Linked DNA regions of Arabidopsis thaliana. The protein of the gene in region 4 interacts with the protein of the main gene of each other region in a biochemical or structural test. Each region holds a gene or a part of one and is shown on either strand. Other genes may lie near its edges. The genes, in order: PHOT2, BZR1, CHIP and RCN1.

What was found.
Region 1: the proteins of RCN1 (region 4) and PHOT2 form a complex in vitro, tested with the Arabidopsis thaliana proteins (one study listed by BioGRID).
Region 2: of the proteins of RCN1 (region 4) and BZR1, one has a biochemical effect on the other in vitro, tested with the Arabidopsis thaliana proteins (one study listed by BioGRID).
Region 3: of the proteins of RCN1 (region 4) and CHIP, one has a biochemical effect on the other in vitro, tested with the Arabidopsis thaliana proteins (one study listed by BioGRID).

What each region holds. Positions count from the first base shown.
Region 1 is NC_003076.8:23,521,242-23,528,570, forward strand, and holds the start of PHOT2 (phototropin 2), read left to right. Parts: upstream 1-2,583; 5' UTR 2,584-2,852; intron 2,853-2,888; exon of another isoform or gene 2,889-2,969; 5' UTR 2,970-3,304; exon of another isoform or gene 3,305-3,481; 5' UTR 3,482-3,529; coding exon 3,530-4,038; intron 4,039-4,161; coding exon 4,162-4,344; intron 4,345-4,425; coding exon 4,426-4,517; intron 4,518-4,643; coding exon 4,644-4,851; intron 4,852-5,253; coding exon 5,254-5,470; intron 5,471-5,632; coding exon 5,633-5,703; intron 5,704-5,832; coding exon 5,833-5,939; intron 5,940-6,025; coding exon 6,026-6,075; intron 6,076-6,165; coding exon 6,166-6,270; intron 6,271-6,350; coding exon 6,351-6,410; intron 6,411-6,485; coding exon 6,486-6,575; intron 6,576-6,650; coding exon 6,651-6,727; intron 6,728-6,824; coding exon 6,825-6,909; intron 6,910-7,005; coding exon 7,006-7,086; intron 7,087-7,165; coding exon 7,166-7,269; coding exon of another isoform or gene 7,270-7,300; exon of another isoform or gene 7,301-7,329. Other genes in the region: ROS3 (RNA-binding (RRM/RBD/RNP motifs) family protein), read right to left, coding at 1-1,466, 1,564-1,908, 2,008-2,187, 2,322-2,525. UniProt on the Arabidopsis thaliana protein: Protein kinase that acts as a blue light photoreceptor in a signal-transduction pathway for photo-induced movements.
Region 2 is NC_003070.9:28,182,112-28,189,854, reverse strand, and holds BZR1 (Brassinosteroid signaling positive regulator (BZR1) family protein), read right to left. Parts: upstream 4,352-7,743; 5' UTR 4,147-4,351; coding exon 3,880-4,146; intron 3,536-3,879; coding exon 2,792-3,535; 3' UTR 2,710-2,791; exon of another isoform or gene 2,445-2,709; intron 2,409-2,444; exon of another isoform or gene 2,209-2,408; coding exon of another isoform or gene 1,888-2,208; 3' UTR 1,809-1,887; downstream 1-1,808. Other genes in the region: AT1G75090 (DNA glycosylase superfamily protein), read left to right, coding at 243-627, 1,447-1,588, 1,667-1,808, 1,888-2,208; AT1G75060 (histone deacetylase complex subunit), read left to right, coding at 6,570-6,794, 7,518-7,650, 7,743-7,743.
Region 3 is NC_003074.8:2,355,546-2,363,051, reverse strand, and holds CHIP (carboxyl terminus of HSC70-interacting protein), read left to right. Parts: upstream 1-2,502; 5' UTR 2,503-2,750; coding exon 2,751-2,855; intron 2,856-3,160; coding exon 3,161-3,228; intron 3,229-3,337; coding exon 3,338-3,401; intron 3,402-3,557; coding exon 3,558-3,629; intron 3,630-3,931; coding exon 3,932-4,065; intron 4,066-4,155; coding exon 4,156-4,309; intron 4,310-4,394; coding exon 4,395-4,505; intron 4,506-4,600; coding exon 4,601-4,729; 3' UTR 4,730-5,145; downstream 5,146-7,506. Other genes in the region: AT3G07380 (glycosyltransferase family protein (DUF23)), read left to right, coding at 1,038-1,210, 1,593-1,728; PUB9 (plant U-box 9), read right to left, coding at 6,439-7,506. UniProt on the Arabidopsis thaliana protein: Has E3 ubiquitin-protein ligase activity and may target misfolded substrates towards proteasomal degradation. Regulates the activity of some serine/threonine-protein phosphatases by E3 ubiquitin-protein ligase activity.
Region 4 is NC_003070.9:8,948,721-8,957,566, forward strand, and holds RCN1 (ARM repeat superfamily protein), read left to right. Parts: upstream 1-2,441; 5' UTR 2,442-2,590; intron 2,591-2,953; 5' UTR 2,954-2,979; coding exon 2,980-3,372; intron 3,373-3,466; coding exon 3,467-3,713; intron 3,714-3,909; coding exon 3,910-4,022; intron 4,023-4,155; coding exon 4,156-4,235; intron 4,236-4,456; coding exon 4,457-4,598; intron 4,599-4,681; coding exon 4,682-4,762; intron 4,763-4,944; coding exon 4,945-5,049; intron 5,050-5,134; coding exon 5,135-5,317; intron 5,318-5,398; coding exon 5,399-5,491; intron 5,492-5,661; coding exon 5,662-5,801; intron 5,802-5,900; coding exon 5,901-5,967; intron 5,968-6,056; coding exon 6,057-6,179; 3' UTR 6,180-6,440; downstream 6,441-8,846. Other genes in the region: AT1G25480 (aluminum activated malate transporter family protein), read left to right, coding at 1-86, 271-408, 510-779, 879-1,015, 1,109-1,255, 1,542-2,156; AT1G25500 (Plasma-membrane choline transporter family protein), read right to left, coding at 6,717-6,896, 6,988-7,221, 7,320-7,436, 7,522-7,749, 7,864-8,047, 8,145-8,602. UniProt on the Arabidopsis thaliana protein: The A subunit of protein phosphatase 2A serves as a scaffolding molecule to coordinate the assembly of the catalytic subunit and a variable regulatory B subunit. Seems to act as a positive regulator of PP2A catalytic activity.

The DNA.
Region 1 (7,329 bases), on a different chromosome or scaffold from region 4:
TTTGCCCACTCTTTCAAAGAAGTCGAGCTTCTCATAAATGTGCAAGTATCCCCCGACCCAACCTTTCTCTTAATTATCTTCTTCTTCGCACCCAATTTAGCTCCTTCACTCACATTCTTACCATTCAGACGCTGCCGATTCTCATCTAAACTTCTCACAGGGGTACTATCCACAGGGACTCCCGCAGCCACAAAACCACCGCTGCTAGATGCGTAATCTGTTTGTTTCATTGCACTTGCAGTCTGGTTAGAGTTGGAGAACTGGTTTCCTACATTGTTGATCACTCCAGCTGCTTCGCCCTTGTCTGAAGTTAAATCTGGGAAGAGTTGAGTTATACTGAATGAAGAAGTATTTTTGTCGCTAACCAGCTGAGTCCACGAAGCCTTCTGAAGCCATGAAGAACCTCCTGTTGACTTGTTACTAGCTTTCAGCGGTCCTTTACCCGCCTCTTCTTCATCTACAACATTTTCCTTCACGACTAAGCTTTCCTTTTCTGCATTCAAATCCTCTGCTACATTTTCATGCTTCTCCACATTCGACTTGCCGTCCACACTATCGCCCTCTGTGTTTGCAACAAATTCCAGGGGGACAGCTTCAACACTTGTGTCACTAACAGTATCTGCAAGTGATCCTGAGTCGTCTGAACCTACATCGTCATTAGCTGTGTCATCGCACATAGAGTCAATAGCTGTGTCATCTTCCACATTATCACCATCATCGCTCTCAGCCATAGAGTTACTAACTGTGTCATCGGCCATAGAGTCAATAGCAGTGTCATTTTCCACAGCATCCCCATCATCACTCTCAGCCACAGAGTCACTAGCTGGGTCATCTGCCATAGAGTCAATAGCTGTGTCATCTTCCACAGCATCACTATCATCCCTCTCAGCCACAGAGTCACTAGCTGTGTCATCTGCCATAGATTCACAAGCTGTGTAATATTCCACAGCATCACTATCATCCCTCTCTATGTCATCTGCCATTGTGTCACTATCATCCCTCTTTATGTCATCTGATACAGGTAAATCCTCTGCCATGATTGTAGACGTTACACGCTTTCTTTTCGTCTTCTTCTTCAAATTTTCTCGGCTAGGAAGCCCAGCAAGATCAGTGTTGCGTGGTGCAGGTTGTACTGCTTTACTGGAGCCAACACCTGGCAAGAAACTGGATACACTAAAATCATTGCTGTTCCCATTTGCCATAAGTGATTTCCAGGAAGACTTTTGGGACCAGGAAATATTGTCGATTGACTGCTCAAGATCTTTTGTTCTGCTCGGTTCATCCGATGATTTATCTGGTACCACTTCAGAAGGCTTCTTCTTTCCACGTATGGCCTGTGAAGATTCCTGTCTTCCAGTTTCCTCTAGGCTGATTGTTTGCCTATTCTTGCTTGGATGAGTAAGGTTCCCTTTTCGTCCTTCACTATATCCTTCTTCACTTGGTGTTTTTTTGTTGAGAATTGATTTCTGAGTTACAATCAAAGAAAGAGCCAGATCAGGGATGAGGTAGATGACTCATTATTGGGTTAAGTATAATAGAAAAAATATAAGTAGCACTACGTACCCGTTTTCTAGACAACATATCCAGCGCTGAGTCCATATCATTGCCACTAGATGCCACATTGATGATGAGGTTATCTTGGTCTGCTTCAATCTCATTGTCTTCTTCGGGGTCCACATTGTTTTTCTCAAAGAGCTTATTCATCACCGAGTTCATAACATTCACCTCGGCTTCTTGTCTTCCCACATTAACCGCTTCCAGATCATGAAGATGTATTTCCCGAGGAGTGAGAGAGCTGTTAGAGTGCTCTTCACAATCACAAAAGCTCCTTGGAAGAGAAGACGACACTGGAACACGCTGAAAGCTATACTTATGTTTACCAGTTCCACTAAGTGGCATAGGTTTCACCTGCACCACACATACGTAGCTCAAACCCTAATCTCTTACTACTCCTAGTACTAACTATGTCATATAAATGTTACAACTTTGAAGGAGCATTAGTAGTACCTTTCTGAGTCTGGGAAAGAAGATGTTAAGGTGAGTGGCAGGTGGTGAATCGGAGGGAGCTTTAATGGTGTTATCAGAGGTAGAAGACGCTGCCTCCCACTCTCGCTTTAAGCGAGCTAGATAATGCTCTTTTGCTTTCTCCAGTCTCAGCCTCCCTCCTTTCCAGACACATCCATTATACTGCCAAAATCGAATTAGGGTTAAGAATAACAAGAGTAAGGAGAGAGAGAGAGAGAGAGAGAGAGAGAGAGAGAGAGAGAGAGAGAGAGAGAGAGAGAGAGAGAGAGAGAGAGAGAGAGATCGAATTCACTCACTGTAGAGAAGAGCTTGGTGAGTGAATTGGTGGAAGATGGAGAGAAATCGATGTAGGCAAAGGAACGACCTTTGGTCCTGACGAATTCGACGGCATCGACGGTACCCATCGGAGAGAATATCTTGAGAAGATCATCTCTCCCGACGCTTTCTCCTAATCCGCCGACGTGAAGCCTAACGCCGCCGCCGCTGCTTTTTTCCTCCATTGCTGCTTGCTTCAGTTGGATTCAGTTTTCCCTCGCCTCTCCCTCACTTTCCTTACTTCTTAATCTTAACTAATAAGGCCCATTAGAGAAGACCCACTAGGACTTAATGGGCTTTTAGCGGGAAAATAATAAGGCCTAACAAGTTTTTAGGGGTCCCTTCTCTTTAATTTCATCGACATTATTTGAAACAGACAGTGAAAGAAGAAACAAATTGTGGATTCGTCGTCTGCGAAAGCATCTGGGAGAGAAGAAGCCACAGTCATTTTCTTAAACGTGTTCATTTTTCGTCTAATCAAATCATGGCGCATGTTCTGTTCTACTACAATCGTAAGTTTACTGGGTTTTATCTATTTATTGTTTATTCATTTTACATTGAAACATGTCTGAATTATTGTACTGGAAAAATTGATGTGAGGGGTGTAATAAATTCGTTTGATTATGAAGAAAATTTGTGAAAGAAGAGGGAATGATGAACAAGAGTGCACGTATTAAGAGGAAACAGAGTTGTGTGGTCCTTGACCTTGAGGGTGAAAAAGGGTCCATGTGAGTTTGATTATTGATAGCGATGTCTATCCTCCCAGGCTTCCGCATCGCTCATTTGCAGCCTCAGAAACATGATTGTCTTTTTAAAATAACTCAAATAATAATATAACTGGGTTTTGGAAACAGTACAGTTGTGTTTTTTAATTGGTCTATCTCTCTATCTTTCTCATCGTCTTTGCTCCTTTTAAAGACTGTGTACTATATTTCCATGAGTTGCAGCTGATAAAGCTACTCTGGTTGGTATATATATATTTTTCATTTATTTTATCTACTTCACCTTCTTTAACGTGTTTTGTTGATTTGCTTCTAAAGACTTTTAATGGCATTTATTACTTTGTTTCTCGAACCTACAGTTGTGTCTGCCTCTTCTTTCTATCTAACTTGTCTATGTGGTGTCTGGTTTTGATTTGCAGACTATTCATTACTCTGTTTCGCCATAAGAAAGAGAATAAAGAAACGTTATGGAGAGGCCAAGAGCCCCTCCATCTCCTTTGAATGATGCGGAGTCATTAAGTGAACGTAGATCTCTTGAGATTTTCAACCCTTCGAGTGGAAAAGAGACACATGGATCAACTTCTTCTTCTTCAAAGCCTCCTCTTGATGGCAACAACAAAGGTAGTAGTAGTAAGTGGATGGAGTTTCAAGATTCCGCTAAGATTACAGAAAGAACCGCTGAATGGGGATTGTCAGCTGTTAAGCCGGATTCGGGAGACGATGGCATTAGTTTCAAGCTGTCCAGTGAAGTGGAACGAAGCAAGAACATGTCTAGGAGGTCATCCGAAGAATCTACATCTTCTGAATCAGGGGCCTTCCCTAGAGTATCCCAGGAGCTCAAAACTGCTCTATCCACGTTGCAGCAGACTTTTGTTGTCTCTGACGCTACACAGCCTCACTGTCCCATAGTCTATGCCAGCAGTGGATTCTTTACCATGACTGGTTATTCTTCCAAGGAAATTGTTGGAAGAAACTGGTACTGCTCATCTCGTATCTTGCTTCTAGTTTCATTCCCAGTTATTAGTTAGAATAATATTGCTTTTGAAACCCATGCCAACTTACTCTGAAATGCTCTTAATCTTTGTGGGTAAAACGCCAGCCGGTTTCTGCAAGGGCCAGACACCGACAAGAATGAGGTTGCCAAAATCAGAGATTGTGTCAAGAATGGAAAAAGTTACTGTGGAAGGCTGTTAAACTACAAAAAGGACGGAACTCCCTTCTGGAATCTTCTCACAGTCACTCCTATCAAGGACGACCAGGGCAATACCATCAAGTTCATTGGGTACGTCCCTTAATTCCTCCCTGTTTTTCCCTAATTAATCGACTGTCCCTCGATCAATCATTTTCACATTTCCATCTGCAGGATGCAGGTTGAAGTTAGCAAATACACAGAAGGGGTAAATGATAAAGCATTGAGGCCTAATGGACTCTCCAAATCCTTGATTCGATATGATGGTATCTGTTTTTTTGCATCTCTTCGTTAATTCAACAAGTTTTTTTTAGCCAAAAACAATGATATAATTTAGCAAAGAGTGCTGATCCACAATCTTTAACATGTAATGGTTTTGATGATGATATCAGCTCGCCAGAAGGAGAAAGCTTTGGATTCCATCACAGAGGTTGTGCAAACTATAAGACATCGTAAGTCTCAAGTTCAGGAATCCGTGAGCAATGACACTATGGTAAAGCCTGATAGTTCTACTACACCTACACCTGGTAGACAAACAAGACAGTCAGATGAGGCTTCAAAGTCTTTCAGGACACCTGGACGTGTTTCTACTCCAACGGGGTGAGTCTTCGTAACCACTAACCACCAGATTACAGTAGTCTTCCTGAACATAAAATAAGGCATATATATTGCCCAAAAAGTGTGATGGCAGTGCCAAAGTTTTGCAGAAACAACTTGCTATTATCATTGCCAAATAGTGGTAAAATATATACTACACAATCTCAATCTAGTTGTTGTGTTAGTCAATATTTAACTCATAGATAATTTCCATTCGAATACGAAGATGCAGTTGCAATCTCCTACTATTGTTCTGTTTCTTATTTCTCGTGTACTTTTGTAACTTTGTGCTGGGCCTTAGAATGTATCCTCTGACATGGATTGGGTAGTGAATTCTGAAGCTGTGTATATATATGTATACATATACACTCAAGGATTTCTGATCTAGCTTCGTGTAATGTGCAGGTCAAAGCTCAAAAGCTCGAATAACAGGCATGAAGATCTTTTACGTATGGAACCCGAAGAATTGATGTTGAGCACAGAAGTAATAGGGCAGAGGGACAGTTGGGACCTATCGGATAGAGAAAGGGATATACGCCAAGGGATTGATCTAGCTACCACTCTTGAGCGCATAGAGAAGAATTTCGTCATCAGTGATCCTCGTCTCCCTGATAATCCCATTGTATGTTTTTTCTGTCTAAAATTGAGATGAACGTTTTTTTCTCGAACCTTAATGTATCAATTGTAGAGTATATTTCATATATTGATTGTTCTTACTCAAGTGTTCTACTATGTTTGTAAGCATATAATCTTGAATTGATAATGGAAATCGTTTTATTTGCAGATCTTTGCATCAGACAGCTTTCTTGAATTGACAGAGTATTCACGCGAGGAAATATTGGGGAGAAATTGTCGGTATGTGAAAATTCTTCTTTTTGTATCTTCTACTCATGAGATTTATCATGCCTTTTAAGTTATGCAGTCTTCTCCGGCTGCGTTTTTGTTGTTTCGTGATATGGATATGTGCAAAGTGGTTGGCTTCAGGTTTCTTCAGGGGCCAGAGACAGATCAAGCGACTGTCCAGAAGATAAGAGACGCAATTAGAGATCAGAGGGAGATTACTGTGCAGTTGATAAACTACACTAAAAGCGGTAGTTATCAGATACTGAACATTTTAAAACGATCATACTGAAAAGTTTCTATGTGGTTGTGTCATTAAAACTCTAAACCATTGCAGGAAAGAAATTCTGGAACTTATTCCACTTGCAACCTATGCGTGATCAGAAGGTCTTCGTGAGATTATTGTTATATCTGGATTCCGATTCTTGAAGAAAACCGTGCATTGTTGCTGATTACATGACTTTATTCATCTATTAGGGAGAGCTTCAATACTTCATCGGTGTGCAGCTTGATGGAAGTGATCATGTAGAGCCCCTCCAAAATCGTTTGTCTGAGAGAACAGAGATGCAGAGTTCGAAATTGGTATGTGGTTCATATCCTACTGAGTTTTTTGAACATCTCTTTCCTATCAAAGGAGACTATGACATTGGTCACAATTTTAGGTGAAAGCTACGGCAACAAATGTAGATGAAGCTGTCAGAGAGCTTCCAGATGCTAATACGGTAAGGTGTACTAGTTCATTATTACTTAACAAAGATGGAAAAGTATAAATGCAATCGAATTGCAATGTATTTTAGCGGCCCGAAGACCTGTGGGCTGCACACTCGAAGCCTGTCTATCCTCTGCCTCACAATAAGGAGAGTACGTCCTGGAAAGCAATAAAAAAGGCATGCATCGAACCATGTTACTTTTTACTTGGTTTCTCATTCATCCTGTTCTTATTCTGACAGTCTCCTTTGTAGATCCAAGCGAGTGGAGAAACAGTGGGACTACATCATTTCAAACCAATAAAACCGTTGGGCTCTGGTGATACTGGCAGGTACAACATTGCATGTGTCCATAGCAATAAATTCATCTGTCCATGAATCGCCTTGTACTTCGTGTATACTTATATGGCGTTTTTTGGTTGGAAAAAGTGTCCATTTGGTTGAGCTGAAGGGCACGGGTGAACTATATGCCATGAAAGCAATGGAGAAAACAATGATGTTGAATCGTAACAAGGTATATGATGGAGAATGAGTTTCCTTTTAATAAGGAAAGCTGAAAAATTCAACATTTATATTATTTCTTTCGTTGACAACATGCAGCTTTATGCAGGCTCACCGAGCGTGCATCGAAAGGGAAATCATTTCCCTTCTGGATCATCCATTCCTTCCTACTCTCTACGCTTCTTTTCAGGTAGATGTTTTTCTGTTTTGCTTGCATCATGTCGGTTTGCCCGTTTCATTGCTCAATTGCTCTTCTTTTTCTTCCGCAGACCTCTACGCACGTCTGTTTGATTACAGACTTCTGCCCAGGTGGAGAGTTGTTTGCACTACTTGACAGACAACCTATGAAAATATTGACAGAAGACTCTGCAAGGTTCCCTCTTTTCCTCAATCTAAACGTATAATGTGTAACAGAAGATCTCCTGGTGATGTT
Region 2 (7,743 bases), about 19 Mb from region 4:
AACAAGGATTAAACAGAAAATTAACCGACACGTAAGCAATAATCACCGGCTATGACCGGTTTACATGCTTTCTTTATCTGTTACCGTTCTACAGTTTTTAAAAACCTTCGTTAAGCTCTTTCATACTCTGTTCCATCTCTCTCTCTCTTTCTCACTGATCTCATTTCATTCCTTATCTTTCCAATTTTACCCTCACGTTACCTTCGAATTCTCCATCTCCTACCATTCAAAGCTTCTCTCAGATGTCTATAGTCTCTAAGCTTCGTTCTCCGGTTAAACCAATAGATGAGTCACGAGCTATCCTCTGTTCGACCGGGAACAGATTTAAGGTTACGAAAACAGAAATGACGAAGAAGCCACAACTGAATCCACGAGTGACGAAATCTCCGGCGACGAAGAAGCCCGATTCCAATTTCTCAGTTTCGACTGATGATTCCTCTTCTTCTTCTTCATCCTCGGAACGTTCGTCAGTGAACACGACAAACTCTGGGAAAGTAACCACTCCGTCGAAACGGAACGGAGTTGAGAAGCTCAATAATGTCGTTGCCTCCGTCGCCGTCGTTGAAGACATTAGTCCTAAAATTCCGGGACCGGTCAAGAGATGCCACTGGATCACACCTAATTCAGGTCTCTTTGTCTGACACCTTTTTTTTTCCCTCTTTGCCTCATTTAACTTTAATTTAAATTCACATTTTTTCTCTCATTTATTTAGAGAAAATTCTGTTTTTTACCTCTGAATTTCGTGAATAACGAGGAAGTATATAATCCATCTGTTACTTTTTGTTTGATCTTTTAGAAAATACACAAATATTAAGAAAACATAATAAATGTTGCATTTAAATGTATTATTTTTTGTGATTTACAATTTTCAATAACTTTAAACCAATGATATTCACTAATTTGTGTTGAAGTTTACAATTTATCAATTATAACTAATAACTATTGTATTGAAAATCTAAAAAATTAATCTTTTTGAAACAATTTTTTTTTCTAAACAATCAAACAAAAAGGAACGAGGGAGTATATTTTTAAAGAATAAAACAAAATATTAGTTTTTAGGTTTTATTGTTAGGAATAAAATGTTTTACACTATGTAGAGACTTGTTGTCCTTGTCACAACATTTAATGAATCTGCAAAGAATTAAAAGATACTTACCAAATTTCTTCGTTTTTGGCCCCAATAAAATATCTCAATCGACTTTATAAATTGATGCCATGTGAATGGCTTTTTATGGTTTTCGAAATGTAATTTTGTTTTGATAATACGTTAAAGTTAATAAAGGTTACAATCAGTTTTCATAGATGTCAACAACACATTAATTGCACCTAGCAAAAACTAGGTATTGTAGTTGATAAATAAGGACAAAAAAAAATGTAGAAGATGATTGATGACATTGGATATGTAAGTTTTTCAGTTAATAATAATAATGGTGATTGATCAAACAGACCCGATCTATGTTTTGTTCCACGACGAGGAATGGGGTGTTCCAGTTCGTGATGACAAGAAACTCTTCGAGCTACTTGTCTTCTCACAAGCTTTGGCTGAGTTTAGCTGGCCTTCAATCCTACGCAGAAGAGACGACTTTAGGTAAACTTAGGACGGTGAATTTGCTATTTTGTGTTTTGGTTTGGTGTGATATCAGAAGTTTTGGTTTCTTTTTTGTAGGAAGCTCTTTGAAGAGTTTGATCCTTCAGCTATAGCACAATTCACAGAGAAGAGGTTGATGTCTCTTAGAGTTAATGGGTGTCTAATTCTATCCGAACAGAAACTGCGAGCAATTGTAGAGAACGCGAAATCTGTTCTCAAGGTAGGCACTGTGTGTTTTGCTATGAAATTGTAGATACTATGTGTTTACTGAAATAGCTTTGGTTGTAATCTGAAAACAGGTCAAGCAGGAATTTGGATCGTTCAGTAATTATTGTTGGAGATTTGTGAACCACAAGCCATTAAGAAATGGCTATCGATATGGTCGTCAAGTACCGGTTAAGTCCCCAAAGGCAGAGTACATTAGCAAAGATATGATGCAGAGAGGGTTTCGCTGCGTTGGTCCTACTGTTATGTATTCCTTCTTGCAGGCCTCTGGCATTGTTAATGATCATCTCACAGCTTGTTTCAGATACCAAGAATGTAATGTTGAGACTGAGAGAGAAACAAAAAGCCATGAGACTGAAACCAAACTGGATCTGCATTCTCCATTACTTGTTTGATCAGAAACAGGGATTGGACTATTAAGAAGATGAGTGACCAGTGTTTGTATTCGTTATGGAATGTACCATTTGTAGCTAGCTGTGTTCATTGATTATGCTACTATCCTAGCTAGCTTTGTCTAACTAGATATTTGATGATGTGTTAGTGTTTGACCAAAAGATTGATTGCAGGGAAATAAAGAATTTAACATTTTGTAAAAGCAAATGTTTTTGCAAATTTTGGATCTTGATGCTAAGAGACAGAATCGGCTCAAGAAATGATATATGACTAAGCAATTTGACAAGACACAAGACAGTTTCAAGCCACTAATTAATGTAACATATGTAAGGAAACAGAATCATACATCTTAAGATTTTTTTATCTACAAATAATGCTTTTGAAACCAAATTCATGAATTGAATAACCACTCTAACACTCCAATGCTTCCATGGAGAAGGCTTTGGGCAGCATATTTGGATAATAAGTGAAGAACATATGAGATTCCATAAAGATCCAAATACCTGGACGAAGAAGAAAATACTCAAGAGGATTAGTTTCTCATATTCCAATGACATGCCATTTGGGTTTGCCTAGTTGTTTATGTCAACCACGAGCCTTCCCATTTCCAAGTGTAAGCTCAAGATCCTCCATACCCACATCATGTATCCTCTCTCCTTCCCAGGGTTTAACTTGGCTATTCTCAAATTTAAACTCAGAGCTTTGACCAATCTCTTGGAAGGCAGCAGTATTTGGAGACATCTGCTGAGGCGCAGGTTTCACAAGATTGAAGGTAGGAGAGGTTGGCACCATAGAGGCAGAGAATGGCTGTTGTTGTGCAAACTTCTGAAAGCTTATCCAATGACCAGAATCAACAGTGGAAGAGTCAGACTCATCACATTCAGGTATAGTAGCCGGGGTATGAAACTGGTGGCGATGTGTCGGACTAGCAGGTGCAGAAACCGCATAGAAAGGATAATTAAAAGACGCCATTGATTGTTTAGCAATGGCCATGGATTGCTTAGCGATAGATTCCCAGTTAGGCAACGGTTTCGGGTTCTTAGAAGTCGGCGATGAGACCGGTGGGGTAACTGGACAACTGTTTGAGATTCTGAGGGAAGGAAGAGAAGAAGGAATGCCACCATTTCTGAGGAAAGGGAAGAATGTAGAGGACATGTTGTTATTTGGTTCACCGCGAGAAGGACTCGGGAATGATGAAGAAGACGGGCTAACTTGGTAAGATGGGATGGGACTTTGAAAGGCTGATGAAAGAGGGCTCTGGTTCTGTGATGAATATGGAGTTACTCGAGATGAAGTCCCAGCTATCTCACCAGGTAAAGGCTTGCATCCCTGATACTCCAACAAAAGCAAAACAATAACCAATCAAACATCAATCAATCACAGGTAAGCAAAAGAAACACAATGCAATGACTTTGGACCAAGTATCATACATAAAAGATTAAGACTTTAGCATACCAATAATAACTCTAAAATTAGAAAGAAAACCCATAAATTCACTTTGAGAAATCAGATCCATCCATAGTTTCTGATGATTCAAATTCACTTTGAGAAAACCCTCAAATTCTCAGATTCAAACCCATTTAACCACAATTGAAATCAACGAATTCAGATTCAAACATCAAAAACATCAATAAAACAAGCTCAGATCTGGAAAAAATGGAGAAAGTCTTCACCTTGCGATAAGTAGTACCATCTTCTTCAACAACCCAACCAGCTTCAACACAAAGAGCTTTAAGGACTTCATTATTATCACAATGTTTAGGCAAATTATAATCACCTTGAGCTCTAAGCCCAGTGTATATCTTCGCAGCTACAGCTCTTCTCCGTCTTTCTCTCCTCCGATTATTCTCCCTTTCTCTCCACGACGGCTTCCTCCTCGCCGCTGCTGCCGCCGCCGCAGCTGCAGCTGCTGATGTCGACGTAGCTCCATCCGAAGTCATCGGGAAAACCAACAACCAACCCCTCGAAACTTCCGGAGAGAGCTTTGAATAGGTGGGTGAAAGATTGTGTGAACGTAGACTGATGAAGAAGAAGAAGAGAGGAGTGAGAAGTTAGTGCTCACGAGGAATACGCTTTTCCTTCGCTGGAATCGAAGAAGAAGAATCTCTCTTTCTTCTCCAACAAATAATAATATTTTTTTCATCTAATGTAAAAATTGGGTCGTGTGTGTGTTCAAGTACATTGAGTTCATATTAAGAATCATTGTTCTTGTGTATCGATCGTCCACGTGTAAATACATGGTTTTGGAAGGGTGAGATTACGTGAGGTGAATATAAGAGGTGTATGTTAAGGTGCAGAGGATAACTACGCTTAGTAACGTGTGTTTATGTTCTAATCTTTTTTTTTTTCTGTGAGTATGTAAAATGAGTAATGACCAAATAATACAGAGAAAAGAAAGGAGGAGACACAGTGGGACCGTTTCTTCAGTGTGGGTCCCTTACTTGTGTGACCGAAAAACACACCATTTGATTGGTTTTTAAAATTTTATTTTATACAGTGAAGCCGTGTGATTAACATCATAATGATATATTCAATTAAAAATTATCACTTTTTTCTTGCATACAAATCTCACTTTAGAAACAATTTTGACTACTTTTGTCCTGATTAGTTGTATGTACACTGGCTCTCTCTTTTTTTTACCTTCTTCGTACCTTACAAATGATATAAAGATTGGTGAATACCATTTACTATGTTCTATAAAGTATTTAGTTTGGTTACATGTTGATTTTAAGCTTTAGTATCTAATATCCAAATTTTGGATTAATTGCTGGGTCCATCATTATTTATGTATTCATAACCAAAACTTGTATAGTTCATTGAACATAAAAGGAAAAAGGGGTTTACGAGTTTGTCCCATAACAAGGTTCGGCGGCATATATGATGTATGATCATGTAATATTTTTGGATTATGACGTTTATTTTGTAGAAAGTGCAGGAGCATGTAACTAATGTCTTAAAAGCAGAGGAACCCGAACCATCAACGCGAGTTGGGAAACATTTGGAATGAATCAGAGGGTTCGATGAATTAGGCAAAACTAAAGTAATCGCCGTTGCCGGGGATCGAACCCGGGTCACCCGCGTGACAGGCGGGAATACTTACCACTATACTACAACGACTTTGTTGCTAATCGAGCGATTATGTGTTAATTATTGGTGATACGTTTTAAATCATCAGTTAAATCTTAATACCAGCTTTCGTTTCTAGCATTAAAAGGAATTTAGGGGTTTTCTTCTTTGGTTTGGCACTAGTAACCTACTTGTGATAATAAGTAGATTATGTGTTAAGTATGTTTTTTTTGGAAATATGTTCTGTTTTTCCGATTAACTCCATGTTACCTAGCTAACTCGTTTTGGACAATAAGTACATTACTTTAAACCATCAAACTTACAAAATGCTATGTCTTGAACAAGAAAAAATGTTGGCTTAAGAATCACTCCATGAACATTGTTTTAGTTTAGTTAAATGTTCAATATGGACATTATACGATGACATATTTAATAGAGGCGTGATTTCAAATTCAAATTACATTGGAGAGGAACGAAAACAAATAAACAATAGGGGTATAATCGTAACTTACGCATGCATGGGCCCCATAACTCCTGACTTTTTTTTTATTTTGAAAAAACCCAGTCAACCATTCATATTCACGTCGATCGCGTGTAGACATTACACAAAATTTACGAAGTGTGGCCCTCGTTTTCCTTTTTTGATCATTTTAAAACCCTCTAAAAGCATCAATCTCAGATTCCAATACAAATTAGTACCCAAAATGTTTCATACAAATTAACCAAACGTATCCACTCCTTTCTTTTTTGTTTCAATTTCGTTTTTACAAAATCTAAATCTTCACAACCAAGACAAGACAAGTAATACAGTGAATAAAGAGTAAAAAGTAATACAAGTTTTCCAACAAATGAATTCATCTTTATTAGAGAGTAAAAAGTAAAAAAGCTCTCGGTAAAAAACAAAAAAAGGTTTTGGTACCCATCCATGAAAAAACCGCTCAATTTCCACAGTGCAAATGATACAAGTACAAAACACACGTGTTGATACCTTATTGGTCACGATAGGAAGGCGGTCGCTATCGCCTATCGTCCCTTCCCTTCCCTCCTCTGTATCTCTATCTTTCTCTCTCTTACTCATCATAATACACTCTGCTTTTTCCTCTTTCTTCTCTCACTCTTACTCTGTCTTTCTTCATCAGACCAAAAACAAACCCTAATTTCTCAGCTCGATTTCTCTCTTACTCCATTTCTCAATCCTTCACAAAATGCACCAACTTCCATTTCCGAGATCGTAAAAAAGCTTGTGGTACTTTCTGATAATAGAGAGGGAAAAAACGAGAGAGAGAGAAAACACAAAATGCTGGAAGCTCCGGTGAACAAGTCAAGCATCCTCAATGGAGGAGGAGGAGGATTCTCTCAGCTACAGAGTTGCTTCGGCGATTGCAGTAGCGAAGAAGAATTGTCAGTGTTGCCACGTCATACCAAAGTTGTCGTTACTGGAAACAACCGTACCAAATCTGTTCTCGTCGGTCTTCAAGGCGTCGTTAAGAAAGCCGTCGGACTCGGTGGTTGGCATTGGCTGGTGAGCAAAGATCAACTTCGCTTTCTTCTTTACCTCGTTTTGTCTTTTTTGCATCTTTGTGTCTGTCTGTGTTTTTATTCCCCCAGTAGAGTAGATTTTTAAAAACTGATTAACAAAAGATCCAGAATCATTAGCTCAATAATGCAATAAAATCAATGGTTGTTCTATGTTACCGATTAGATTGATTGTTCTTAAAATATCATAACTTTATTTTGTTAAATTGCATCATAACGATCTGCACTTTTTATATTTATTTTTAACTTTTGTGTTACTTTTTCTCAATCAATTCCTTGAGAATCCTTATCTTTGTGGGTTCAAGCTGGCTTTTAGATTTGTTTTACTTGTAGTCACTAATTTTGATATACTTTAATTAATAATATTTAGGGTTTTTGTTCTTTCTTTTTCAGATTGGTCATTTTCATCCACTGAAAAATGTTAAACTTTTTATAGATGTTCTCCGTTTCATTAGGCTTCCTAGTTTTTATATTATCAATTTTACTTTCTTTGATCCTTTTTTGATCATTTCTCTAGCTATACAATAAAAATCAGTATCTTATACGATTTCCTCATAACCCAAAGCATCATTTTTTTTTTTACTAATATCGATATCAAATTCCACCACTTCTTGTCTCCAACCATTCCCATTTCTCAAAAAGTCCCAAACTTTACTTTGTTTGTGGAGTTCAATTTTTAATCTTTGTCCTTTTTGCTTTAAATTTTCAGGTTTTGACTAATGGAATTGAAGTGAAGTTGCAGAGGAATGCGCTTAGTGTTCTTGAACATCCTACAGGGAACGAAGAAGACAATGATCTTGAAGTCGACCATTCTACACAGTGGAATCATCCCTCCGATATGAGTAAGTTTGGTTCCTTGTCTCTGCAATAAAGTACCAAATTTTAGTCTTTTTGAAATGTTTCATAAAGACCGTTCTTTGATTGTCTTTTGCAGC
Region 3 (7,506 bases), on a different chromosome or scaffold from region 4:
TTTGAAGATTTTGATTATTTTGTCTTGGGATTAGCATCATGTGTTAACTCTCTTGAAATGTACTGGCACAAATGTTTGAAACTAATCAAATCAATTTTTTTATCATCTACTTTAAATTGTCTAAATATGATAGAAGAGTGCATCCAAATTCAATTAATAAGATAATTATATTTTTCTTTGACCAAATTAAAAAGGATAAATAAATATTGTTTGACTGCATTAAAATTTCTACAACTTGGATTGATAAGATTCGTTTTATTGAATATGGTAGATAGATATCCTCTTATTATTAAAAGAGAAGTACAAATTGAATTTTTGTCTAATTTAGCCTCAATTTTGATTTCAATTTTGAATTTTGTTCTTCCTTATCAAGGGTAAAATCGTCCAAACCAAATAATTAAATTAAACAGGATCCGCGTTTTACATAGACGGGTGAGTTATGTTTAATGGGCTTTTGATCACATGTAAAACTACATAATGGGTTACCATCAAGTAATGCAATCTTAGCCATAACACGATTAGTTGTATATCTCAACAATTTTTAGTATCTAATACACGCATATTCCATCAAAATAGTCTGCATATTTAATTACGATTTTAAGAATCTTCAATCATATATTCACCCTCCTCACTAATCACTATAAAATCGGCATAGACGAGTTTATTCGATTCTTCTAACTACCATAACACGATAATACATTCCATAAATTAGAAAAAAATCTTATAAATTTATTCTCTTAAATTTAAAACTAACCATAATCAACTAAACAATATTTACCACTTATCTAAATATAGCCAATCATTATGAACTAAACCAAATTCGAATCATTAGTGAGGATCCAATCTTTGATTTGCAACTTATCCTGCAAGATATTTTCGAATATTTTTGAAAATATTAGATCCAACAACCCTAGCCTCCTTCATCACTATAAATATCAAAGTCATTCTCATCACAAACCAAATTGAGATCAAGAACGATTCGATGGTTATTATCATAATCAATTCATGATAGTGAATGATTGTTTGCATAAGTATTCATGACGAAGTGGATGTTCTTCGTTGATGTTGATGAGTTTTTACATGTTCCGGTGAAAGAGACGATTTCGTCTGTGATGGAATCTTTGGAGGAATATTTTCAGTTTACTATTGAACTGATGCCTATGAGTAGTCAGGTTTGTTATTCCGGTGATGGCCCGGCCAGAACTTACAGGTAACATTCATAACTTTGTTGATTTTAATGATTGAACGTTAACCAAAGCCCATGTGTTGTTTATTGAGTGACTTAGAATATTAGTCACAAGTTTTTTGAAGGTGACATATAATATCAATAAGCATCTGATTCTGTCAACACTTGGCCTGTAAAAGTCTTTGTGCATTCTGTATTAGTCTCCTATGTCGGTCACGATCTTTGCTTTTATTGAACATCACATGATATTAGTGAGAAATGTTGTAAAGATTATTTCTTTTGTTTGTACCAAATATTGAATTGTAATTGGTTTGTATATTTTCTGTTTTTAGGAGGGAACATATCGGTTATTGATTTGGTTTAGTTCAGGGACTAATCTAAATGGTATTTTGGTTTTGTGTTTCAGAAAATGGGGAATTGAGAAACTGGCATATAGAGACGTCAAGAAGGTTCCAAGACGGGATCGGAAATACGCGGTCCAGCCGGAGAATGTATTCGCGATAGGCGTACACATGTCTCAGAATCTACAAGGGAAGACATAGCACAAGGCTGAGAGCAAAATCCGTTACTTCCATTACCATGGTTCGATCTCTCAGCGCCGCGAGCACGCACTCCTTATGTGCTAGACACTACAATCCGTGATGTTGGCCTTGCTGTGAGAACGTTCGAGTTGAGAACGATTGGTGATCGGCTGCTACGGACAAGACAATGAAGAGATGAAAAACATGAATAGTGAATCTAATCAATCTTTAGAAAGAAGAATTAGGTGTTAAGATGATTTACTTTGCATTGTTTTCTTTTGGGGGTATATTCTTTTATTGTATCATATAATTTGGGTAATGGGATCATTAATACAGCTTCAAAATACTCTTTAGTATAAATATTCTGTATGATTTAGAAAAAAGGTCTCCTCATAAATGTTATTATCTTTGTTTTGCCAAAAATAAAAGATAAAACATACCAACTTTGGTTTTTAAAGATCTTATAATCAACAAAATAATTACACCATCTATCATTATATTATATTTTTGTCACCATTTTACTTATATCAAATACACATTTAGTAATTGATACACAACTTTAAACACAATAAAATACATGATTCTAATCAGTAAATAGTCTCCATACTAATAAAAGATTCCAATCATTATTTATACCAGTTTTAAAAAAACTAAATATATGTTACTATTTTTTAATATAACACACACTAATTTATTTAATAAAAAATTTATAAAAGCCTTCGCGCGACGGGAAACCGCGGGTTTAATCCTAGTTGTATAAATAATTTACAATTAACCCAATGACCGGTTTATGGTAGTAAACAAAAAGAATGACTATAAGATCCGGATTATGATCCAAGTCTCATCGAGCTGACCCGGTAAAGAGACTAATCTCTTTCGATAACCGATTCATTTAAAATTCCCTTTTGCTTACTTTTCTCTCTCCTTTCATCGAGAAATTTCGCGGCTACTTCTCTTCTGAAACGCACCGGGACGCGCCGTCGCACAAGTTACAGAGGAGTGTTGGAAAGGATAAAGACTTGGTTTTCTGGGGTGCCGTAGATATGGTTACAGGCGTGGCTTCCGCCATGGCGGAGCGGTTAAAGGAAGACGGAAACAATTGCTTTAAGAAAGAACGTTTTGGTGCTGCCATTGATGCTTATACCGAGGTACATGGTTCTCACTCTCCTTCTCTCAATTTCATCGTTAGGGTTTTGTGTTTTCCGAGATTTTGATTGAGATCTGCGTAGAGTAATAAACCCTTGATTATAATTTCGAAATTGGACAATTCGTTTGTGAATCAGAACTTAATTGCATCCAAATTAGGTTTTGATGGAGTGTACAATTCGAGAATAGACATTTGATGGAATTTATGAATCTTTTATGTGCTCATCGTTATAAGTCATCAAGAAACTTCAGGCTTATTCAATTGTAGTGGTTTTTCTTATCATTTTTTTTTTGTGTAATTGAGTAGGCAATAGCTTTGTCTCCAAATGTTCCTGCTTATTGGACCAATCGAGCACTTTGCCACATGAAGCGAAAGTGAGTATTGTTCTGTCAAGCAAATTTTATACATACTTCTGATTAGGCAATCCTAATGCCCAAATACTTTATGGTTCATGTTTGGCTTCTTTGCTTGCATCAAATTTAGGGATTGGACTAAGGTTGAAGAGGATTGTCGCAAAGCTATTCAGCTTGTCCACAATTCCGTCAAGGTTTGACTCTTTTGATTATATCTAAATGGAATTCTTTTGCTTGGTGTGCTATGTATGGAATATGTCAAGTTTTTTGTTTTGTTTTATCTTTTCTTGGCCTTCTTTGATCCTTTCTTCTCCATCATATGAGGATTTTACAATTATGTTCTGTGGCAGGCACACTACATGCTAGGACTTGCATTATTGCAGAAGAAAGAATTTACTAATGGAGTCAAAGAATTGCAAAGGGTAAGGATCTTTGTTAGTCCTAAGCTTTTTTCTGTAAAATTTATCAGTGGACATGATTGTTTAAGTCGTAACGTTGAGACCTAAGTAGTGTAGTTTCCAAGCATCTTAATGAAGATGTGAGGCACCACTTGAATCTCCATCTTTTTCCTTTTGAAAGATGTCTAAGTGGATACTGTGGACACTTGTTTTAGTTAGAAAAATCACTAGAGATGGGTTGGTTTGTTTATGCCATCAAATACTGCAAACAAATTTTGGTTTGATACCTGTTTCCTGTTAACTTCATGTAGCTACGTTTCATATAGGCTTTAGATCTTGGAAGATGCTCGAATCCAACAGGATATATGGTAGAAGAAATATGGGAAGAGCTTTCTAAAGCAAAATACATGGAGTGGGAACTGGTTTCTGCAATGCGGTCATGGGAACTGAATAGTTTGAAGTAGGTTCTGTAACTTTCTTAATCCAGTGCTATCATTCGACTTGGAACTGTGCTTTTGTGGCTTTATGGAACTATTCATGTTTGTGTTAGGGAAACTTGTGAGGCTGCTCTTAATCAACAACGTGCTTTAGATATGTCTCGAACAGAAGAGTCCTCAGACGAAGCATATACTGCCCATACTGAGCGTTTGAAAGCTCTTGAACGAGTGTTTAAGAAAGCTGCAGAAGAAGATAAACCAACTGAGGTGCATTAAATTTTCTTTAAAAGCTTTTAAGACCCATCGTTCATTTATATTTGAGGTCAAATACATTTCTGGTTTTTCTTTTCAGGTGCCAGATTATTTATGTTGCAATATAACTCTTGAGATTTTCCGAGATCCTGTAATTTCTCCAAGTGGGGTTACATATGAAAGAGCAGCAATCCTTGAACATCTCAAGAAGGTTTGCATTATCATCGCTCTTTTCTTGTAGCCTTAATCTCTATAAAAAATATTCCTCATTCCTGTTAAGGTTTGATCGTTTACACCACTTGATAGGTGGGGAAGTTTGATCCTATAACTCGTGAAAAAATCGACCCGGCTAATCTCGTTCCAAATCTGGCTATCAAAGAGGCAGTGGCAGCATATCTAGAAAAACACGTCTGGGCTTACAAGATGGGTTGTTGATCGAAATGGGGATTAACATAAACACAATGAAGCGGATGAGAAATTGAGGTTAACTACTCAGGTGACCGAACAAAACAGATGGGTGCGTTTACCTTTTTTCACATTTGTGTTTGTTGTTGCCGATGTTTTCAGTGTAAGATTCTCTGCCCTGTGTATATATTACAATGTTTTTTTGTGCACTCTGTACACATTGGCCATATGGCTTAGCCTATATAACACACATACAGAATTTATTTACTATTGAGGAAAGCCCAATAACATACATACAGATATTGTTTATCATTGAGAAAAGCCCAATAACAGACAGATTTAGATGCAGTTCTCTGACGTCAACAAGATTGATGAATTGTATCTCATTAGGATGTAGTCCAAGGCATGCTTAAGTATTTTTTGAAACCTTCTTGGACCACTCCGGTTCTGTGCCATGAAAAAAATCTGGATTGTGTGATTAATCATCTAAAATAAAACTGAAAGCCTGAAAATTCAATATAAAAACAAAAAGTTGTCATGCAATAGTGTAGAAAAACAATGATTTAGTTGAATGTTCATCAAAGTTGAAAGAAAGCAAAAGACATGGGCCATCATAAGGTATTCAAAGTATTGAATGAATTCTGCCTAATAAGGCGTAAATCTTGGGGTCTTTTAAATAGAAATAAAACTACTATTTTCTTTATCTATATGATTTCCACTGGGGACACATAAAAGGTAAACCCACCATTGTGGTTGTGGATTATTACGATTCTTTTTCTTCCTTTATGGGATTTATTTCTTTTTTTGTATCCAATGAATTGTAAACGTTACTTCTTGGGGATAAAAAGTTAAAAAGAAAGCATCAAATTCTTTCTTTTCTTGGCTTTTCTGTGAAAGTTTGGTGAGGAATAACACCAAAGAGTGGTTTAGGACGAATCCATATTCTATCCTCTCTATTAAATATTCCATTTTTTCAACTTTCTCACGATATGTTGACCTGTAATTATTACGAATCACGAGTTTTAGCAATTTCGTGATTCAATTCTAACTTCCAAGCAATCCAACCAACCAAATACATGTGATTTTTATCATTACTTACATGCTTCTTGCCTTGTCTAGAACATTTTTTAGAAATATATTACAAAACTACTCCGTTATGTTTTCTAACAAAACTTATAATTCATCAGTGATAGTCGAAATTTATTTATAAGCTTTGATGAGTATTTATTTATATATAAATAAACTTAAAAGTACTGTTTTTTTCTAACACGACAATAGGAATCACATCGTCACGTTACATTACATAGAGAAAAAATCACATCAATGGAAAACTCGTGACTCTGTAATAAACTCTTTTTCCAGAGAGAGTGGAATTAGATTGATTTGCTTTGTGGTTTATCAGTGATGTGAGGAACACGACATGACAGCCTTTCTATGTATTTTTAATAATCTACTTATTTATACACAGAAACAGACGAAAAGCTACACACTGTTACTTGTTGACCAAGGCTTTCACAGCTGAATAAAGCCACCAACATTGATTTTATTGATTGATTTCTCCAGAAACATCAAACGCAAAAACTATTCACACAGATTTCTACTTACATCTCACATACGAAAACCAATAACCATTCAGATCCTAAAGATATGAATAATTTACAAAAATTCTTACAGCCAAATAAAGTAAAAAAAAGAAACAAGATTTTAGGTAATTTACATTGCAGATTTCAAGGCTTTTCTCAGGCTGTATGAGTGAGATTCATAGCTTTTCTCAGTCTGTCCAATATCCCGTTTGCTTTCCTCTGCGCCCTTGAAGTTCCTTCACGCGAAAGCTTTGTTATCGTTCCATGAGCATTCTCCTCTTCTTTGATCTCCTTCCACTTTGTCCTGTCGCTGAAACATATAGTATGCAGTATCACTATCGCATTCTCTTTGTTTCGCTTGCACTCGCTCTCTCGAGTTATCTTCAGCAACCATGAAACCCCACCGAGCTCACCCAATTCCTCCACAGCCTTCCAGTGAGTAACAAGCATTGCCAATATAGCTAAAAGCTCATCAACGTACAACCCATTCGAGATTTTCTTACCTAAAACCCTAACAGCTCCGTCTCTCACAGCTCTACTCCTGTTCTCATGGGCTATACAAAGAGTGAAGATCGCTGCAGCTACGTCTTTGATAGCTAATGGATTCCCTTCTTCTAGGAGATCGATAAGCGGTTTCAGGATTCCGGACTTCCCTATAAGTACTTTGTTTGAATCGAGAGCTGACAGAGTGAAGATCGCTGCAGCTGCATTGCTTCTCGTGGCGACTGTTCCACGCCTCAATGCATCGATAAGGAGAGGAATCACATTAGGATTTTCGCAGACGAGCTTCTTGTTGCTGTCATCATGTATTGATATGTTCAACAATGTTGTAACCACATCTTCTTGAAGCTTCTCATCTGGGTTTGACCCGTGTAACAAGGGATTCACCAACCTGGTGATCTCATCCGGAGATTCGCCAAAAAGAGCTCGGAACTCAGTGCCTTTCCTGGTCAGAAGTCTTAGCTCCTTGGCAGCTGATTTTTGATCTTGAAGGTTCGAAGAAGAGACTTTACAGAGCAAGGAATTGAAAATCTCACGATCTGATCTTGTCACAGTTTCATCTTCATTTACAAGGTTGGGATGATATTGGCTCTTCGTCTCAAGCCCGTTCTTCTTGCACCATTTCGAGATCATTTCACGGATTAAGAGATTAGGTGTTAAAGCCGTGTGAGGCAGAACTTGCTGAGTCTTGGGACATGTTCTGTTCCCTGAGCTCAACCATTT
Region 4 (8,846 bases):
CTACCTTAAAGAACCACTCCGTGACGCTAGCAAGTATGCTGTTTGGGCGATCCTTACTGTTGTCGTCGTCTTTGAGTATAGTATAGGTACTGTGACTCACGAATTCTATAGATTCAGATCGATTCTGGGGTTGTTGTTGTTCGATCAAATCTTCCGGATTTTGATTAAAAATCAAAACTTTCGTCTTCTTCGATCTAAATTCTCATTAGATCTGTCTTAGGATTACTTGTCTTCAGAGATCTAATTTGGCTCTAACTCTGTTTTTTGAAGGAGCAACATTGGTCAAAGGATTTAATAGAGCTATAGGAACACTCTCTGCTGGAGGACTTGCTCTTGGCATAGCTAGACTCTCTGTTTCAGCTGGAGAATTTGAAGAACTCATTATCATTATCAGTATTTTCATTGCAGGTTGCACTATTTCTCTCAATTTTTATTAGAAATGAACCTTTTTTAAATAAACATACTAACTTTATTTTTGATACTTGTGAATCTGTTGGTTTGTCTATCAGGTTTTTCTGCAAGTTATTTGAAACTATACCCGGCGATGAAGTCGTATGAATATGCATTCAGGGTGTTTTTGTTGACATACTGTATTGTTCTTGTGTCTGGAAACAACTCTAGAGATTTTTTTAGCACTGCTTATTATAGGTTTTTGCTTATCCTGGTTGGTGCTGGTATCTGTTTGGGTGTGAACATATTTATACTTCCCATTTGGGCTGGAGAAGACCTCCATAAACTAGTTGTTAAGAATTTCAAAAGTGTGGCCAATTCACTTGAAGGTAGAGAGATACGTCAAATGGCTGTTTTCTCTTGTTTCGTTTCGGGTTTTGGCTGTTTTTTTATGTCTTGTTTTGTTTGTGCTTTCCTAAAACTTTCAGGATGTGTTAATGGGTACTTGCAATGTGTTGAATACGAGAGGATTCCTTCGAAGATTCTCACTTACCAAGCTTCGGATGATCCATTATACAGTGGATACAGGTCTGTAGTCCAATCTACGAGCCAAGAAGATTCTCTGGTGTGTTTTCCTTAGGACACTTTTGTTGAGCAGCAACTAGATAACTTGAAAAGGATTTAGATGATAAGATACGATGACCTCTTTTTTCCTCAGCTTGATTTTGCAGTATGGGAGCCTCCACATGGACCATATAAGACTTTCCACCATCCATGGGCAAACTACGTCAAACTTAGTGGCGCAGTAAGGCACTGCGCTTTCATGGTCATGGCAATGCATGGCTGCATTCTTTCGGAAATTCAGGTAACTTACCATATTCTTGTTAAATACAACTTTATCTATCATAGCAAATGAGGTGCTATAATGGTTATTAGAGACTATACCAACCTGCTTCAAATGCTACTAGTACCTCTTCGTGATTAACTAGACTGTTACTCTGAGAAGTCGGATATTTGTCATATAATTGTTGAGTAGGTGCAAAGTGGGATCTCCTAGTTTACTGTTGTTACTAGTGAATGGTTTTCTTTGAGTTCAATGCTTGTCGTATGCCCTATAAGACTTGTGATATCAATTGGTGTGGGATTTGCAGGCAGCTCCAGAAAAAAGGCAGGCTTTTCGTCAAGAACTTCAAAGAGTTGGAAACGAAGGAGCCAAAGTCTTGAGGTTGTTTGGAGAAAAGGTGGAGAAAATGGAGAAGCTAAGCCCAGGGAACGTTCTCAAGGATGTTCAAAGAGCAGCAGAGGAACTACAGATGAAAATAGACAGTAACTCCTTCCTACTTGTCAACTCAGAAAGCTGGGCTGCTATGAAAGAGAAAGCCGAAGCTGAAGAAGCGCAACAAAACTATCACGAAGCCAAAGACGACGAGTCTAAAGTGATTCAATCCCTCAGCCAGATATGGGACAATAACAACAACCCTCATCATCAGAATCAACACGCTGGTAATGATTCTCAGCTATGGATATCAACAGAGAGTATGATGCTTAGGAACCGCGAAAACTGGCCAAGCGTCTCTTTCATAGGCGGTTCTATGATCAATGAGATAGAATCCAAAGTATATGAAAGTGCGAGTTCTTTGTCGCTAGCTACATTTGCGTCTCTTTTGATCGAGTTTGTTGCAAGGCTCCAAAATATTGTTAACGCGTATGAGGAACTAAGCACTAAAGCCGATTTCAAAGAACAAGTTAGCGAGACACGGATATAGAAAAAGCTGGACTCTGGACCAGACTCAGTAGCTGCTTCAGCTCCAGGGATATAGTTGATTTTGTATAGAAAATTATATACATTATTGCTTTGTTTGTTTGCTGTCTTGAAATAAGTTCCTAATTCCTTTTTGTTTTGTTTTGGCAAAGTCATAAACTCAATTGGAAAGTTTTGTTTTTCTTTCATTGTATCAATTGAATCAACTGTTTAATTTTTTAAAGCAAAAAATTGATTAAAGCCCAACATAACCCAATCCTAAGAAAGCCCAAAATGGCCCAATTAGACACTTTCGTCATTTTATATCTTTCCCTTTAATAAATCCTTCGTAAAAAAAAATCAAACGCAGAATATTATTTTTCTCGCTCGCGAATTCCTCTTTCTCACCTTTTCTCGCTCCTGGGAATCTGAAGCAGTTCTTCTCCGACGCCTGGATCGGTAAGTTGATTTCCAGTTTCTTCTTAACGAATCATAAGATCTCATCTCTAAACCTTCATTTTCCGATTCACATTCCCTTTAATCCAACTTCGAACCGGTGAATCTGAACCCATTTCTCGCTTCTTCTGTTTTATTCATACCCGATTCGTTTCAAAATCTGCAGTATAGTCTTAATCTGTTTGTGCAAGTAGAGAAAAATCAATAAAGCCGAAGATAACACTCGAGTGGCTATAATTGTTTTTTCCCAGGATCTGTAAATGATTTCTCGTATTTATTACTAAATATTTTATTCGAGATCCGAAAATATCTATTGTTTCGTCTCTTATAGCAATGAGCTCATAGGAATTATTTTTGGTGTTGCAGTGATTTGATTCGAACTTTCACATAAGATGGCTATGGTAGATGAACCGTTGTATCCCATTGCTGTGCTTATAGATGAGCTTAAGAATGATGATATTCAGCTTCGTTTGAACTCGATCCGTCGCTTATCTACTATAGCTCGTGCTCTTGGAGAGGAGCGTACAAGGAAGGAGTTAATCCCTTTTTTGAGTGAGAATAGTGACGATGACGATGAGGTGCTTCTTGCAATGGCTGAGGAGTTAGGAGTTTTTATTCCGTTTGTTGGAGGAATTGAGTTTGCGCATGTTCTTCTTCCTCCTTTGGAATCTCTATGTACTGTTGAAGAGACTTGTGTGAGAGAAAAAGCTGTGGAATCGCTTTGTAAGATTGGATCTCAGATGAAAGAGAATGATCTTGTTGAATCTTTTGTTCCTCTTGTGAAGGTTAGTTTAGGAGATTTATGTAGCACTAGATTACGCCGTTTTGTTAGTTGGTTCAATCAAAGCTTTTTTTTTTGTTTTGTTGTTTGTCTTGTAGAGGTTAGCGGGTGGTGAATGGTTTGCAGCAAGAGTTTCTGCATGTGGTATATTTCATGTTGCATACCAAGGTTGCACTGATGTGTTGAAGACTGAGTTACGGGCTACTTATAGCCAGTTGTGCAAAGATGATATGCCAATGGTGCGAAGAGCTGCTGCATCTAACCTGGGGAAATTTGCTACAACTGTCGAGTCTACCTTTTTGATTGCTGAGATCATGACTATGTTCGATGATCTTACTAAAGATGGTACTTAATGTTTGAATATATCGTACTTTATATGTGCTCATCACTTAGAAATAGTTTGCATAGACCCAAGAGTATGGTAAAGAGATCACATTTGAATTAATAAACGCTGTTTGATGAAATATATTGGATACTTACCTCTTCAGAAATGTTTGTTTTATCTGTGCTTATATTGGTTAAACTTTAACCTTCATTTCAGACCAAGATTCTGTGAGACTATTGGCTGTTGAAGGGTGTGCAGCTCTTGGAAAGTTGTTGGAACCTCAGGATTGTGTTGCACGCATTTTACCTGTTATTGTTAATTTCTCTCAGGTGAATTGAGCTTTGTTTTTTTCATTCATGGATTTTTCAGTTAATTGTCTGCTGTTCCATGTTTAATTTTCATCGGTAAAAGCTTGCTGTTCTGATGTTTTTCTATGGTGTTTGTATTGATTTCTGAGAGCAGGATAAATCTTGGAGGGTGCGCTACATGGTTGCTAATCAGCTATATGAACTTTGTGAGGCAGTGGGTCCTGATTGCACGAGGTATGTGTTTTGTGACATTGTTGATTTTTTTGTCATCCTTGCTAATCTAGGCTTTCGTTCTCGTAAAACAGTTTTGTGACCTTCAAACAAATATGCATCTAAGAGCGTCTATTGGAAGTTTTCTTTATTCTTTTTCGTTCATATAAGAGCCTTCCATGGTAGTTCTATGTTTGTACATGTATCTTTTTATTTTGACACAATTTATGTTATAATATCTCTAGGACGGATTTGGTTCCAGCATATGTGAGATTGCTAAGGGACAATGAGGCTGAAGTGCGAATAGCAGCAGCGGGAAAAGTGACCAAGTTCTGTCGGCTTTTGAATCCAGAGCTTGCGATTCAGCACATCCTTCCTTGTGTGAAGGTAAGACTCCTTAAATTCTATATAAACGAGTTGTTTGATGTCCCCTGTCTCGTAATATTCTGATACATACTGATGTCTGGCAGGAATTATCATCGGATTCTTCTCAACATGTCCGCTCTGCTCTAGCTTCAGTAATAATGGGGATGGCTCCTATCCTTGGGAAGGTATGAACTGAAGATAGCCAACATTTTCGCATCTTGTGACAATGTTCTGAGATTTAATTTGTTTTATGGTTTTCATCAACAAAATCAGCCATACCTTGTGTTATGGCGTGGTTATACCAGCCCCAACTGGTGTTGCAGACCTTATCAAAAAATTATTAACATACTAAAATCTTTCAATACAGGACTCAACCATTGAGCATCTGTTACCAATTTTTCTTTCCCTTTTGAAAGATGAATTTCCTGATGTGCGCCTTAACATCATAAGCAAGTTAGATCAAGTCAACCAGGTTTGTTGCATCTCTCTTGTGTGCTTTAGATACTACTTTTATTGCTTCCTTATTTAGTTGGTGACTGAATTATCTTTTACGGCAGGTTATTGGAATTGATCTACTATCTCAATCCTTGTTACCGGCCATTGTAGAACTTGCTGAGGATCGGCACTGGAGAGTCCGACTTGCAATAATAGAGTATGTTCCACTGTTGGCCAGCCAGTTAGGTATAGGATTTTTCGATGACAAGCTCGGAGCCCTTTGCATGCAATGGCTGCAAGACAAGGTTTACCTTGAATCTTTGATGTTTGCATAAATTTCTCATTCACTTGTTATTGTAGATATTGACACTGTTCTCCTCCTTCAGGTCTACTCTATCCGCGAAGCTGCAGCAAACAACCTAAAGCGCCTCGCAGAGGAGTTTGGTCCTGAATGGGCAATGCAGCACTTAGTTCCCCAGGTATTCTTTGAGCATTTTATACTAAAACCATCTGTCTGTTTATCTTATTGTTGATCTATGTCAAGTACCTCACCTATAACATCTAATCTCCAGCTTTGGTCCCTTTTCTTTGGATATCACTAAAGCTGCAAATATTGAGATCTCCAGATTGACCTTTATCATATAAACAGGTATTGGACATGGTCAACAATCCGCACTACCTACACAGGATGATGGTTCTACGCGCAATATCTCTCATGGCGCCTGTAATGGGATCAGAAATCACATGCTCTAAGTTTCTTCCTGTGGTTGTTGAAGCATCAAAAGACAGGTACAATAGATAGATTAGAGGATATGAATAAGCCAAACTAGTTTAAGAACACTTCTTAGTTTTTAATGTGTTGTTGTTGCACACCTCTTATCTCTGCAGAGTTCCAAACATCAAGTTCAACGTTGCCAAACTTCTGCAATCCCTCATCCCCATAGTCGACCAATCAGTACGATCATAACAAACATAACTCAGTTATATCGAAAACTAATGGAAATTGTTGAATTTTAATGTTTTTGCCGTGTCAAAAATTTGTAGGTGGTGGACAAAACAATCCGTCAGTGTTTGGTGGACCTGAGCGAAGACCCTGATGTTGATGTTCGTTATTTTGCAAATCAAGCACTTAATTCCATCGATGGTTCCACAGCAGCACAATCCTGAATTGTTTTTTTTTCATATGTATGATCGTTAAGTTAAGTTTCTATTATTCGTGTTCTCTGCAATTTATTTGGTTTGTTTGTGTAAAACGCCATTTTGGTTGCTGGCTATGAACTGCAACTATTTTTGTTAGTAAAATTGTATTACCTTTTTTACACTTTCTGTTGTTCCAAACCTTATACATTCTTCTTAGTTTACTAATGCTAACACTACTCCCTTAGTGAAACTATTTGAGATAGAGTGAAATGCGTGTGGCTATGTTTGGTCTTCTGACTAGTTCTTGTTTCAAACTTTATCCAACCCCTCTAGATCAACTTTGTTCTATTCAATTGATTTTGTTTTTCTAATAAACACAAAAATCAATACATTAGATTTTGATACAAACGCCCACAGCCTCCTATTCATGATTCAACAAATAGAAAGCATAAATCATTTGACAAAATAATTTTAGCCACAAGGGTTAGCCCGCTTTTAGCACCCTCTAATAGCATAATATTCTACAGTTATATCTCCTATTTTCCAAGAGGAGGCATAGGCTAATCAAGCGGTCGTCAAAACTTCACGGGCTCGCGAGCTACGATGTTGGAGACGACGGTGAAGCACCTCAGACATCTCAGTGTAGAAATCAGCATCCCATCTCTGAATCAACAAAGGATCTTCAGCAAAACATATGTATATCGATGTCACAGCGCTTTCGACTACCACCATTCCTAAACCCACCTGAACACCACATTGGATCAATGAAACAAAGTGAACAAGTTGGTCATGTAATTTTTTGGGTGACTAAAAGAGTGCACAAAAGAAAACTCACAAGAACCATTCCCATCAACATAGCCGTAGATGCAACCATTATAACTCGGTCACTGTACTTGATCCAAGCCCATATACCAATGCAAGAGCCTGTGATGAGTCCTCCAAAGATGGTTCCCATCAGAAGTACAGCACCAGAGCAGTCATATGCAACAAGTGCCTCTACACCTGTCGACTGAAACAATTCCCATGCGTCTCTTGCTGATTTGTTGAATCCTTTTCCATACACTGCAATCTGATAATTAACCAAACGTTTTTTTCATTCTGAGTCTCATTGCTCATAGGAGGGAGATGATGAGCTTGTTTAAAAACTGTCTATATTTATATATATACCTGGACGTATGCATACTTGTTAAAAAAACGAACTAGTGTTTCAACTAGATGAAACAGGAAATCAACGCAGCAAAGTAAACATTCGTTTCCACAAATCTTGGACCGGAATCCCCTTATCTGCAAAAGAAAGTTGCAGACTAATGTTATTAACAAGAGGAGCAATGATAATGTTTTACGAACAGCAAAGGATGCTGGAGACTACCTCCCAGCGAAGTGTTCTAATGGCAGCAGTGAAGAGTGAACCGTAACATATGCTCCCAAAAGATGTTGTCACGGCATACCTAAGTGAGTCTACCAAAGAGCTAGGAGGCAACGATGATGACTCTTCTTGACCACAGTGAAAGAGAACATGAAACACCATCCCAGAAACTATAACATGGACAGTGTTACATAGCACAGCGCCTGTCCAGAATAAGCTAACCGAAAGAACCTGCATATATATTATATGTTCCAATGATTGAGTGAATTCTAAACATGTTTACTTTCAGACACTTAAAGCAGAAAACAGAAACCGTGAGTAAAAATGCAAAACTTGCCAGCTCACCACAAGAAGCCACCATCGTCCCTCATCGCCCATGCTCGATGCCACAACACCAGCTGCTCCAAAAGACCATAGAGACATCCACAAAAGCATGACTACTGTGAAAGCATGTGCCACCATTATCACCTTAGGAAGTCCCCAGACTAATTTCAGCGCTTTCCGTAGGACCAGCATTGTGAAAGGAAGTCTACACATGAACAACTCAAATCATCAGAACTAAAAAGTTGTTGCCATTTGACCATAGGGGTTCAGTCATAGTTCAACCAGTTCAACCTCGGACGCACCTGTCTATAACTGAAATAACATACAAGAACTGCAACAGAGATCCAACAGCGAATGCACCGCCCCAAAAGAACAGTCTGCACCAGAAACATAGTACACTAACTACAGCTAGATAGGTTGTTAAGATGTGAACCGAAACTTTCATCATCTCATTGGCGTAAGAGCCAAGCAGCAATGACCAAACCCAACTGATAAAGACTCCAATGCCACCAGCAACAGCATAGAGAGGCCAGTAATCCTCTGTTAGACCTTTATGATTCTCCAAGAACCCTTGAGTGTACCTATCGATGTTTAACCTATCTGATATTCTAAACCTATTGAGTCCAAGCACCGCGAGCACAAATCCCAAACAAATCAAGTGGATCACAAAGATGGCTGACCAGAATACATCATGCCAATGGCGGGACTCACGCACAACGGCTCGGTTTCCATCTCCACTCCTTCGACTCCGCTGAAGACTCTGCAAATCAAAATGAAAACATTGATTCATTCAAATTACATCATGGACGAGTCTGAGACCTACAAAAAGCTATGCTTTAACATAAGCAACGACTCTGAAACTTCATATCAGTACAATGCAAATACATAAAGTGATCAAACTCACACAAGACACATTTTCTATCAAAAAGAAAAAACTTTGCGACTGACCCGTGATTAAAGTTACAAAGCCAAAGTAACCAATCGCTCTTAACATGTAAGGAACA